Linked DNA regions of Astyanax mexicanus. The protein of the gene in region 1 purifies or fractionates together with the protein of each later gene. This does not show direct contact. Links are inferred from orthologs where the notes say so. Each region holds a gene or a part of one and is shown in the gene's direction. Other genes may lie near its edges.

Region 1 (3,755 bases):
TGCATAAAACACAGACAGAATAAAGGAACTGAGGAAAAAAGTGGGACCCAGATACAGTGGCTTGCAAAAGTATTTTTACCCTTCAAACCTTTCAACAATTTGTCACCTTACAAGCACTAACGTAAATGTGTTTTATTGAGATCATAGAAGTGAGTCATAGAGTCATAGAACAACACAAAGTAGCAAAAGTTTAATCAAATAAAAATTATAAGCATTCAGCTTAGTGCCACCTTTCACTGCAATTACAAGTGCAAGTCTTTGTGGTATGTCTCTACCAGCTTTGTGCATCTGGAGATTTTTGCTCATTCTTCATTGTAAAATAGCTTAGGCTCAACCAGGTTGGATGGAGAGCTTCTGTGAACAGAAACGTTCATGTCTTGCCACAGATGCTCAGTGGGATTTAGGTCAGGCTTCCACTGTAGCTCTGGCTGTTTGTTTAGGGTAATTGCAAAAATTTACATTCACAAATGTAAGTGACCTGTATCTGTGTGTATGTGAACAAATCTGGCCCTGAAACGCCTCACGAGTGCATACTGATATGCTGATAAACGTCGCCTTCTTCACCAACAGCAAAAAAGGAAAATGGATGCATTAGCAGCTCATACGTGGAGCATCTTTTGCTTGAGTGGAGAGCAAACAGCTCTGGAGTACATGCTCAGGTCGAGGAGGTGAAAAAAAGGCCAGGTAGTTTGCTTTTGCTATAGCTGCACATCTGCACCAAGAGATGTGTGGGTACAAGAGAAGCACGTAGCGCATGCGTAAAAGCAAAAAGATGCACAAATTCTGACTGACCGTTCACACTCATGTCACATGTCCATGGATTGGATACATAGCCGATTCAGGAATACATAAAAAAGTAATAAAAATCTGATTTGAAGTATTTCAAGGCATTTATCCATTTATTCTTTTTGCTCCTGGTTGTAAGTGTGTTTTTCTTGTTCACCTTCCCTGGTTGTGAGTGTGTTTTTTTCACCTCCTGTGGTTGTGAGTGTGTTTTTCTTGTCCCCCTCCCCTGGTTGTGTGTTTTCCTTGTTCACCTCCCCTGGTTTTGAGTGTGTTTTACTTGTTCACCTCCCCTGGTTTTGAGTGTGTTTTACTTGTTCACCTCCCCTGGTTTTGAGTGTGTTTTACTTGTTCACCTCCCCTGGTTTTGAGTGTGTTTCTCGGTTTCTCCTGTTGAGGCCGCTGACTCACAGCCGCCCTCCTATCTCACTCCTCTCTCTCACTGAGATGTCTATGGTTACTAAACACAGTTTCCGCTTCCAGACCGGATGTCAGTTGCAGTCTGTACTCCGAGGCTGCGAATGTTGTGGATGAAAAAGAAACTGGCAAGTTGAGAAAAACAACGAGTTCAGGCTGGGCAACGACAATTCTTCGCGGAGGAGGAAAAAACCTCGTCGACAGAGGGAGAAAGCGGTGAAGGAGAGGTCGTGTGACGCTGCAGGTGAGCGGGAGCGGCTGTGTTTATTATTATTGGATGGAGCAGCTGGGTTAACTTTACTCCGCAGGCCGCGCTGCTCCCGGGCTCCGGGCTCAGCGGTGGGGAAACCAGCATGCTGATGTAACCAGGTGCCAGCCCTGTGTATGTGCGCTAAACTGAGCCAGGGCCCTGTCTCAACCACTGCCCTAATCCCTGTCCACTTCACCCTGCTAGGCGCCAGGTTCACAGAAACGTGGACTGCGACTAGCAGCTCCTGTCAGAGAGCGGATCCAGCCTGAACACAGGCTGAGTGAGCGGCTCGGTTAGCATGGAGGGGAGTGGCTGACTCAGACAGATAGCGTTACCCAGAAGTGAGTCAGCATCAGAAGTCAGCTAGCGGACCCTTCTGGGAACAAACATGTCCTTTTAGCTAAATCGGTTCGGTTGTGTTTTCGTCCGGTAAAGACAGGGGTAGCTTAGCTTAGCTTAGCTTAGCCTGCTGTTGTTTGGCAGAGGGAGGGAGAACTGACAGCTATGTAATGACACTCGAAACTAAGTGCACAGAGTCCCAAACGGAGGGAGAAGCGAATGAGACGGGCCCGTGTTTCACTAGCTAGTTAATGGGCTAGCTAACTAAATAATTTTTGAGATTGTAAGTGCAGTTCTTTTACTGCAATAATGTTCTCACTAACTTTGGGAGTAGGTGACAGCCAGCTGGTTGATATCAGAAAGCTGTAGCCAACTCGTTAATTAGTTAGTTAGCTGTTAGCTAGCTAAAATAAACGTATATGTAACTAAAAGTAAATGTAGCTAATCTAGGTAAGCTAGTTACTGTTAGCTAACGTTAGCTGACTCTGTAAACAAGCTAGCATCCAGCATATAACTGCAGTCTATGGTCCAGACACGTTGATATCTTTGTAACTCCTGGTAATCATTTTTCTCCAATGTAGTGAACTTAGGCTTGGGACCTATCAAGAAATATAACTATGTATAATCTGTTTGAATCTTACTGTAGCTGTCCAATATGTTGTAGGAGTGTGGCCAACTCAGTAGGGTTACAACTATTAGTCCACATAATCAACAATGTTCTTTATTTAAATTTGTCGACTAATTGTTCATTTGTAACAGTATCACAATACACAATGTGCTGGAGACAGAAGTGCAGTGGGAGATGGGTAAATGGTTCACTCACCAAGTTTACACTCAACAAAAATGCTCAAAAACAACACATTACATATTTTTTCACTAAATATCTGTACTTTCCACGTTTAAACAACATCTAGACATTTTAAAATGCTTTTAAATCTAGCTGTTTCTATGTTTTTTAGGGATGGGGAACATGGCAGAAATAATCGCTGACTAATTGACTATTTTTTTGTTTTACATTTTGAAACTAGCAAGGTCCAGTGTCCAACACATGACAAAGTAGTGATGTAGTGTGTTATCTTCCCAGTACTTTAGTTTTAAAATCTAAATAGTGAATCCTTTTTATTCTGGGTCTGACAAATGCTTGGAAATGACTCATTGAGGACTCCCCCTACATTTCTGTAATGTGTCTCCCCCTCTCTTTTAAATGATTCAGCAGCTAGAGTTTCATCCTGGAACTGGTTGCTGGTTGTGCACTTCATCTTTCAGTTTCACTTCACACTCTCTCGTTCATTTACATAGCTTAACCGTTTAACAAGATTGGACCTGCTGATTGAACATGCACATAAAAACTGTACCTTTTTTGTGATGTTATTTTGACTGTGTTATCTAACTTTTTATGTAGGCACTTCAGTCTTGAATCTAGTGTTAATATTTATATGTTTTGTCTTTATCTTCAACCTTTAGCCATAATGGTGGGCGAGCGCCGCAATGGGAACCTCCTGGTTCAGTTGGGGCCAAAACAGCAGGCTTATCCAGAGGAGCTGATTCGCCAGAGGCGCACCCATGATGGCCAGACAGAGTACCTGATCCGCTGGAGCCTGCTGGCTTTGGATGATGGCACCAGTTCAGGCGGCAGCAGTAACGAGGCAGGTGGCGGGGGTAGTGGTAGCTCTGGTGTTGGCGGCTCCAGCGGGTCCTCTTCTGGTGAAAGTAAGACGGAAAACATATTGATGTGGATGTCGACAGAGGATGTGTATGCCAACTGCCCCACGCTGCTGGGCAAGCGTCCTCTGCTGGAGGAGAAGGTGCGGCCAAGTGGTCAGTTCTCTCCCGACGTCACGTTTGACGAGGTGGAGCTGTCGGATATGAAAGATGATGTCAAGAACCTTGTCGAGCGAGCGCGAAAACAGATGGCCAAAAACAGTGATTTCGCCATTAGTCTCACACACACCATTCATGTGCTGAG
Region 2 (3,755 bases), on another chromosome or scaffold:
AGTTGGTAGGCTTCTAGTTCTAGCTCTACTAAACTAAGTAGACACCTTAGAAGAATAATTCTTAGTAACTTCATACTAAAAAACGTTGATTAATTAATTTGTTTAAAAATCCATTACTATCATATTTTGTTTATGTTCTTCGTGTTTCTTTATTTTTACTGTAAAGCATGTATTGAATCTAAAAAAAATATTGTAATATTTTGCCTAAAAAGAGGCCAAAGCATGCATCCTTAAAAATAATCAAAATACATATAGAATTAATTTTAATCTAAACATAAAAAAGTGAAATCATGTGCTGGTGGGAATTCAAACACACAATTCATAAAGTATCTGTTTTTTTAAAAAATAAAGAATAAATAAAAAAATTACTTTAAAGCTAAAAAGGGACATAATGGCTCCTAGATAATTATCATTTTAAAACCATAAATCTTTAAAATAGTTATGCATATGTCCGTAAAAGGGTGGACATTCTAGGTCAGAGACTTCATAAAAATGTTTAAATAAATGCTACAAATTATATGCCTGAGCTTGACCTAAAAAAATTAACATACCCCTTTCACAATAAAATGTGAAAAAAGTATAATAACAGTATTTCCTTTTCAAAAGGTTTTGTTGTCCAAATGGCACCCAATCCCAGGAATGACCCATGTATAAACCTAATTTATTTTATTTTAAATTAATTACATAATGTGGTTCTGGTCATTAATCTCCTCGGAATGGATTTGTAGATATATATAAACCTGTAAATCTGATATATTAGAAAATAATCATACTAATAACCCTGTAAAACTGAGACCTGTAGTTTGAGATTTAAGTAATAAATTTGTGTTGTGATTTTTGGCTGAAACCGGTTGCCATAGCTCCGTGAAAAGCGCGCGACCGCAGTATAATCTCGCGAGAGTTGGTGCGCGCGATCCCGAGCTGTGTGGTAATGGTGGCGCGGGGACGCTGTCAGCCGCTCTGAGACAGATATGAAGATTATTACCTGGAATATAAACGGAATCAGGAGTTTTAAATATGGCATTAAGAAGACGCTGGACTCGTTTAACGCTGATATTATCTGTGTTCAGGAGACGAAGGTCACGCGTGAGTATAGTAGCTATGTTATTCAGCCAGTAAAGAGGTTTAGCAGTGAGGCTGGATGGCTGTTAGCCTGAGTTAAAACAATAAAGATGCAGAGCTTTCAGGCCTCAAATAATGCAAAAAAACCCCCCAAAAAACAAGTTCATATTCATAATGTTTTAAAAGTTCAGAAATCATTATTTGGTGGAATAACCCTGGTTTTTAATCACAGTTTTCATGCATCTTGGCATGTTCTCCTCCACCTGTCTTACACAATGCTTTTGGGTAACTTTATGCCACTCCTGGTGCAAAAATTCAAGCAATTTAGCTTGGTTTTGATGGCTTGGTTTTGATCATTCATCATCCTCTTGATTATATTACAGAGGTTTTTAATTTGGTAACATTAAAGAAACTCATGGCTGTTAGCATGTTTACACAGTTAATCAGAGTATTAATCTGTTATATCTGTTATTATGTGTGGATCAGGGGATCTGCTGGATGAGAGGACTGCAGTAGTGGATGGATATAATTCCTACTTCAGCTTCAGCAGAGGACGCAGTGGATACTCAGGTTAGTAACTACTAGGGGTGTCACGATTCTCTAAATCCTCGATTCGATTTTATTTCCGATTTTAGTGTCACGATTCGATTCTCGATTTTCTTTTTTTTTCTTTTTTTTACAGCAGAGAGGCCTATGCCAGTTTTAGATTAGTCTATGGTCAGTCATTGGTTTGATTCATCAAATTTACAATATCTTATCTTATTTTAAAAGGCAGGCTTGAGGCACATTAGGCACTAATGGTCAAATTTAAATAATTTAATTAAGATATATTTGTAATGCCATCTAGTGGCATTTTTTGGTAGCAGCAGTGTGCACATAACAAAATAAATAATAAAATATAATTAAATTAATTAAATAAAAAAATTAGAGCCTTAACAAACTGAACTCTATCCTACTATAACAGTTAAACATGAAAAATAAGATTCAGTCCCTGAGAATGACAAGTTTTTTTCTTTAATAAAGATATATTATTAACTTTATCTGAGAGAAAGATGCTCCTTAAGGTACCAAAACTATTAACATATTAGACAAAACAACTATTATTTTTATATTTTCAAGTTTTTCTTTAAGAAGATGAGAATGTCCACATTCTGTAGAGAAAGGGCTGCTTTTTGAGCTACAGTGTGCTGCGCCATTTGCGTAGCGCGCTGCGCCATTTGCGGGAGGGATCGTCAATCCTCTTTTTGACTTCGATGCTCGAGACCATGACATAGTTTCGATCGATTTCGATGAAATATCGAAATCGTGACACCCCTAGTAACTACAGTATTTCAGGAACTCAGGGGATTAAAAGACACTGCTATAGTAGTTCATGTATGCAGATACACTAGCTTAGCTTAGCTAACAATAGCTCTGCAAAAAATAAAGAGATCACTTCAGCTTCTGAATCAGTTTCTCTGATTTTGCTGTTTATAGGTTTATGTTTGAGTAAAATTAACATTGCTGTTTTATTCTATAAACTACAGACATTTCTTCCAAATTCCCAATAAACATATTGTCACTTAAAGCATTTATTTGCAGACAAAATAAGAAATGGCTAATTAGCCATACAATAGCCATAGAATAGTTCTCAAAAGATTTTGTGTCCAACATTTTGTACAATTTTTAAATTTATAACAGAATCAGTCAACTATGTACATTCCGACAGGGACTGGATGCAATATTTTGATAACTTTATAATTCTGAACAGGAGTCGCAACCTTCTGTAAAGACAGTGCTACACCATTCGCTGCTGAAGAAGGACTGACTGGGCTTCTTGTCAACAATGGAGAGGCTGTTGGATGCTATGGGGACCAGACTGCATTCTCCACTGAAGAGTTACATTCACTAGATGGTGAAGGACGGGCTGTCATCACTCAGCATAAATTAATGTAAGCTTTCATGGAATGCCACAAGTCTGTGTCATAACATCTTCAGACCTTTTAATATTAAAACATTGTGTTTGTTGTACTTTCAAGATGTTTTACAGTTCAGTACAGTACAACTGATGATTGGTGATGAGTATGTGATGGGTACACAATGACTGTCATCTGTCAATGCTGAAATGTGTTCCCATGTTGAATGTTTCATGCAGGGGAGCAGAAGACCCAGAGACACTCACTGTCATTAATGTGTACTGCCCACGTGCGGATCCAGAAAAGCCAGAGAGGAAGCTCTTCAAGCTGCAGTTCTACAGGCTCCTACAGAGTCGAGCAGAGGCCATTGTGGGGTCTGGAAGGTAAGAAGGACATCAGTAAAATTGCATACATGTTTTGCTGGTTTAGCTTAATCCAGAGTTCCATTATGTTTTTTTTTACATTTAATTTGCATTGCTTAATCACTTTCTTTCTGTCTAGTCATGTGATCATTCTGGGGGATATCAACACATCTCATCGGCCTATAGATCACTGTGACCCAGACGATGTGGTCAGTAATTAACATAATCTTTGTTCATTGTTTATATCTATTAAAGTAGGAGCCTAAAGTAGCTATGTACGTGCACTGATCATGCTCAGATAGAAAAAGATTCTCCCTGTTTTTGCACCTGTTAGAACACACATTTAAACATTTCCCCAGGAGGCTTCTTTAACATATCAGTCAGTATGCAAACTGTGGCAGTTATTTACCTCTGAAAAAAACAGGAAATCCCAGAT
Region 3 (3,755 bases), on another chromosome or scaffold:
ATCTATTGAAGTATTTATGTATTAATGTACGTATGTATTTATTTATATATTTATTTATGTATTTGTTTACATATAGTTGTGTATTTATTTTTTGTTTTGCGTTTGGGGCTATAAATGAGAGATTACATTCACTTTTTTATCCACTAACAATATACTCAGAGAGGAAAGGACCGCCTAACTAATTAACATATAAATACAGGAATAAATAAATAAAGAAATATGGTGGTACGTAAATAAATACGTGAAGAAATGTAGAAATTCATCAATAAAACAATAAAAGAAAAATGTATGTATTTATTTATTTTTAAATAGGATTATTTATTTATCTACTTTACAATCTAAGCTGTTTTTAACAAGAGTTTGGGGCTTTAAATGAGAGATTAAATTCACTTTTTAATCCACTAACAATATACTCAGCGAGGAATGGACCGCCTAACTAATTAACATATAAATACAGAAATAAATAAATAAAGAAATATGGTGATACGTAAAAAAAAAAAAGTGAAGAAAATAAATACAAATAAATGACTAAACATATGTATTTATTTATGTATTTATGTAATTATCTATATAACTGTGTATTAATTCGTTTATTTGTTTATTTATACGAATAATTTATCCATTATAAGTTAAGCTAAGTTAAGCTAAATATAGTGTAAGGACAAAAAAAAAACACAAACAAGTATTTAGGGCTATAAATGGGAGATTAAATTTTCTTTGAATCCACAAAAAATATATAAGATATGACATAAATGTAATTATTACCTTTTCCAGGACAAAATTATTATTATTATTATTATTATTATTATTATTATTATTATTATTATTATTATTATTATTATTTATTTATTTATGTATCGAAGTATTTAGGTATTATGTATGTATTTATTTGTATTTATTTATTTATTCATGTATTTATTAATATAATTGTGTATTTGTTTATTCGTGTATTTATTAATATAATTGTGTATTTATTTATTTATTTATTATTTTTTAAATATAATTATTTATTTATCTATTTTACAATCGTATGTATTTTCATATAATTGTGTATTAATTCATTTATTTGTTTATTTATAAGTAGAATTATTAGTTTATCTATTTTACAAGCTATATATATATATAAATAGATTCGTCAATAAATAAATAATTATTAAATAAATAAATCAATAAATAAATAAATAAATGTAAAAACTCAGAAACAGGACAAATAAAAGTTAATGGATGAAAGATTTCTTTTATATATGTAAGGATAAAATGAATGTATTTATTAATTTATGTATTTATTTATATAATTGTATATTTATTGATTTATCTACAGACCACTTTATTTATTTAGGTATCTATTTATTTATGCGTATGTCTTGTGCTCCATACACTTATGCCCAAGTGTCGAGAGGCTCCCTACGTAGGGCACTTCCACTGGATTTGAGACGCTCTCATCATGACATCACAGCTCTACGGCGAGCGAGGAGGGACAGTTGTGTTGTAAACTGCGTTGCCTGTGTTGAGGAGAGGCGTGTAGCTGAGCGGCGGCTCTCAGAGCGTTTCTCAGCTTTTCCCGCAGCTTTTCCCCCGCAGTGAGTTCTGGATGATATTCTGCATTAGTGTAGATTCATTACAGCGCGGTGTAGCATTATTACTGTTTATTCCGGTTACCCATGTGCTGATCCGCGTGCTGTGTAGCGCACGAGCCCTGGATCTGCCCGCATTACAGCTCTACCAATTCTTATACGCACTTTACACCAGACTGCTGATCTCAGACCAGGGCTTATTATACTCATTTATAACCACACTGAGTCTTTTACTGCATAAATACGAGTTAAAATGTGTGTAAATTAAGTTTTAGTATTATGTAGATAATATAACTGTAGTTTTGTATTGTAGTAGCCTGTAGTTATTGTGTATTCTCCTGCAGTTCGACCCTCTTGGACTAAGCTGGTCATTAAGCTGGTCATATTGTTGTGGCCAGATTGGTCATGGTGTTGGACCCATGTGGACCAAGCTGCTCATCAAACTGGTAATATCGTTTTAGATCAAGCTGGTCATATTGTTGTGGCCAGATTGGTCATGGTGTTGGACACATATGGGCCAATCAAGTCATAATGTTTTGGCCAGGTTGGTCATTGTGTTGGACCCTCGTGGACCAAGCTGGTCATTAAGCTAGTCATATTCTTTTGGCAAAGTTGGTCATGGTGTTGGCTCATCATGGACCATGCTGGTTATCAAGTTGGTCACGTTGTTATGGTCAAGTTGGTCATGGTGTTGGACCCTTATGGATCATGCGGTCACATTGTTATGGTAAGGTTGGTCATGGTGTTGGCTCATCATGGACCATGCTGGTTATCAAGTTGGTCACGTTGTTATGGTCAAGTTGGTCATGGTGTTGGACCCTCATGGACCAAGCTGGCCATCAAGCTGGTCATATTGTTTTGGCCAGGTTGGTCATGGTGTTGGACCCTCTTGCACCAAGCTGGTCATATTGTTTTGGCCAGGTTGATCCTGGGGTTGGACCCTTGGGGACCAAGCTGGTCATATTGTTGTGGCCAGGTTGGTAATGGTGTTGGATCCTCATGGACCATGCTGCTCATTAAGATGCTCATATAGTTTTGGACCAAGCTGGTCATATTGTTTTGAAACAAGATGGTCATATTTTTTTGGCCAGGTTGGTCATGGTGTTGGATCCTCATGAACCAAGCTGGCCATCAAGCTGGTAATATTCTTTTGGCCAAGTTGGTCATGGTGTTGGACCCTCATAGACCAAGCTGGTCATATTATTGTGGCCAGTTGGACCATTGTGGAACAAGCTGGCCATCAAGCTGGTCATATTGTTATGGTCAGATTGGTCATGGTGTTGGACCCTCTTGGAACAAGCTGGTCATCAAACTGATCATATTGTTTTGGCCAGGTTGGTCATGGTGTATGGAGTGAATTTTGTGCCAAAAGTTTTACGTAAAAAAATAAAATCCACAATCAAAATTTTAAGAATCAAAAGTAAAACATGTATGTTGCAAATTCAAAAGAGAAAAAATATATATCAAATATATATATTTAAATATATTTGGTTATTTTATTATTCTTTGCACTTATTTGAAAATTATTTTAGTTTGGATTTTGCCAGTCTTTGCTTTCATTTTTGGATTTTTTTGGATTTTCTGTGGATTTTTGTGGATTTTGCTGCTAAAGACTTTTGCTTCTGGAATCTCTCCTTTGCTTCTGCTTCATTTTTTTGCTTCTGATTTTTGGCACACTTTTCACGGGTGGGCGGGGCTTAGAAGAAGGCGTTCCCCTTTAATCTCTATTGGTCACCTACCCTGAACCCTCGTCTGAGACAGAACACGCCCACCCCGCCAGCTTCAAGCGCTCTTCCAAACATGGCGGAGCGAACGGGGTTCAGCTCACAGCAGCACCAGCAGGTACTTTTCCAATTAAATTTCATACAGACGTTATGTTTAATGTTATATTTCTTTTTTAAGTAAGTGTTTAACTCTATTAAGATGCTCATGTTAGCGGGGTGTGCTAAATATCCATGCTTAAATTATACTAGTTAGTTAGTGAACACTAACCTACCTAGTCAGTGAGTTAGCTAGTTTACCTAGGTCATCTGGTCAGTGAGTTAGTGGGTTAGCTAAGCTAGTTAGGTTACCTAGTCAGTGAGTTAGCTAGTTAACCGTAATCAGCACTTACTTGGCTTTACCCTGGGGCATAATAACTAGCTTAGCTAACCCACTAGCTCACTGACTAGGTAACCTAAC

The links.
Region 2: the proteins of cullin-9 (region 1) and apex2 purify together in Homo sapiens (affinity purification with mass spectrometry; 3 studies listed by BioGRID and IntAct, counting the BioPlex papers as one, with this or other methods). This does not show direct contact. The link is inferred for Astyanax mexicanus from reciprocal best matches to the Homo sapiens genes CUL9 and APEX2.
Region 3: the proteins of cullin-9 (region 1) and glmna purify together in Homo sapiens (affinity purification with mass spectrometry; 3 studies listed by BioGRID and IntAct, counting the BioPlex papers as one, with this or other methods). This does not show direct contact. The link is inferred for Astyanax mexicanus from reciprocal best matches to the Homo sapiens genes CUL9 and GLMN.

The regions. Positions count from the first base shown.
Region 1 is NC_064414.1:18,295,947-18,299,701, forward strand, and holds the start of cullin-9, read left to right. Parts: upstream 1-1,263; 5' UTR 1,264-1,444; intron 1,445-3,253; 5' UTR 3,254-3,258; coding exon 3,259-3,755. UniProt on the Homo sapiens protein: Core component of a Cul9-RING ubiquitin-protein ligase complex composed of CUL9 and RBX1. The CUL9-RBX1 complex mediates ubiquitination and subsequent degradation of BIRC5 and is required to maintain microtubule dynamics and genome integrity.
Region 2 is NC_064419.1:39,158,745-39,162,499, reverse strand, and holds the start of apex2 (DNA-(apurinic or apyrimidinic site) lyase 2), read left to right. Parts: upstream 1-897; 5' UTR 898-971; coding exon 972-1,086; intron 1,087-1,548; coding exon 1,549-1,632; intron 1,633-2,812; coding exon 2,813-2,993; intron 2,994-3,196; coding exon 3,197-3,340; intron 3,341-3,458; coding exon 3,459-3,528; intron 3,529-3,755. UniProt on the Homo sapiens protein: Functions as a weak apurinic/apyrimidinic (AP) endodeoxyribonuclease in the DNA base excision repair (BER) pathway of DNA lesions induced by oxidative and alkylating agents.
Region 3 is NC_064411.1:55,061,144-55,064,898, reverse strand, and holds the start of glmna (glomulin, FKBP associated protein a), read left to right. Parts: upstream 1-1,471; 5' UTR 1,472-1,580; intron 1,581-3,755.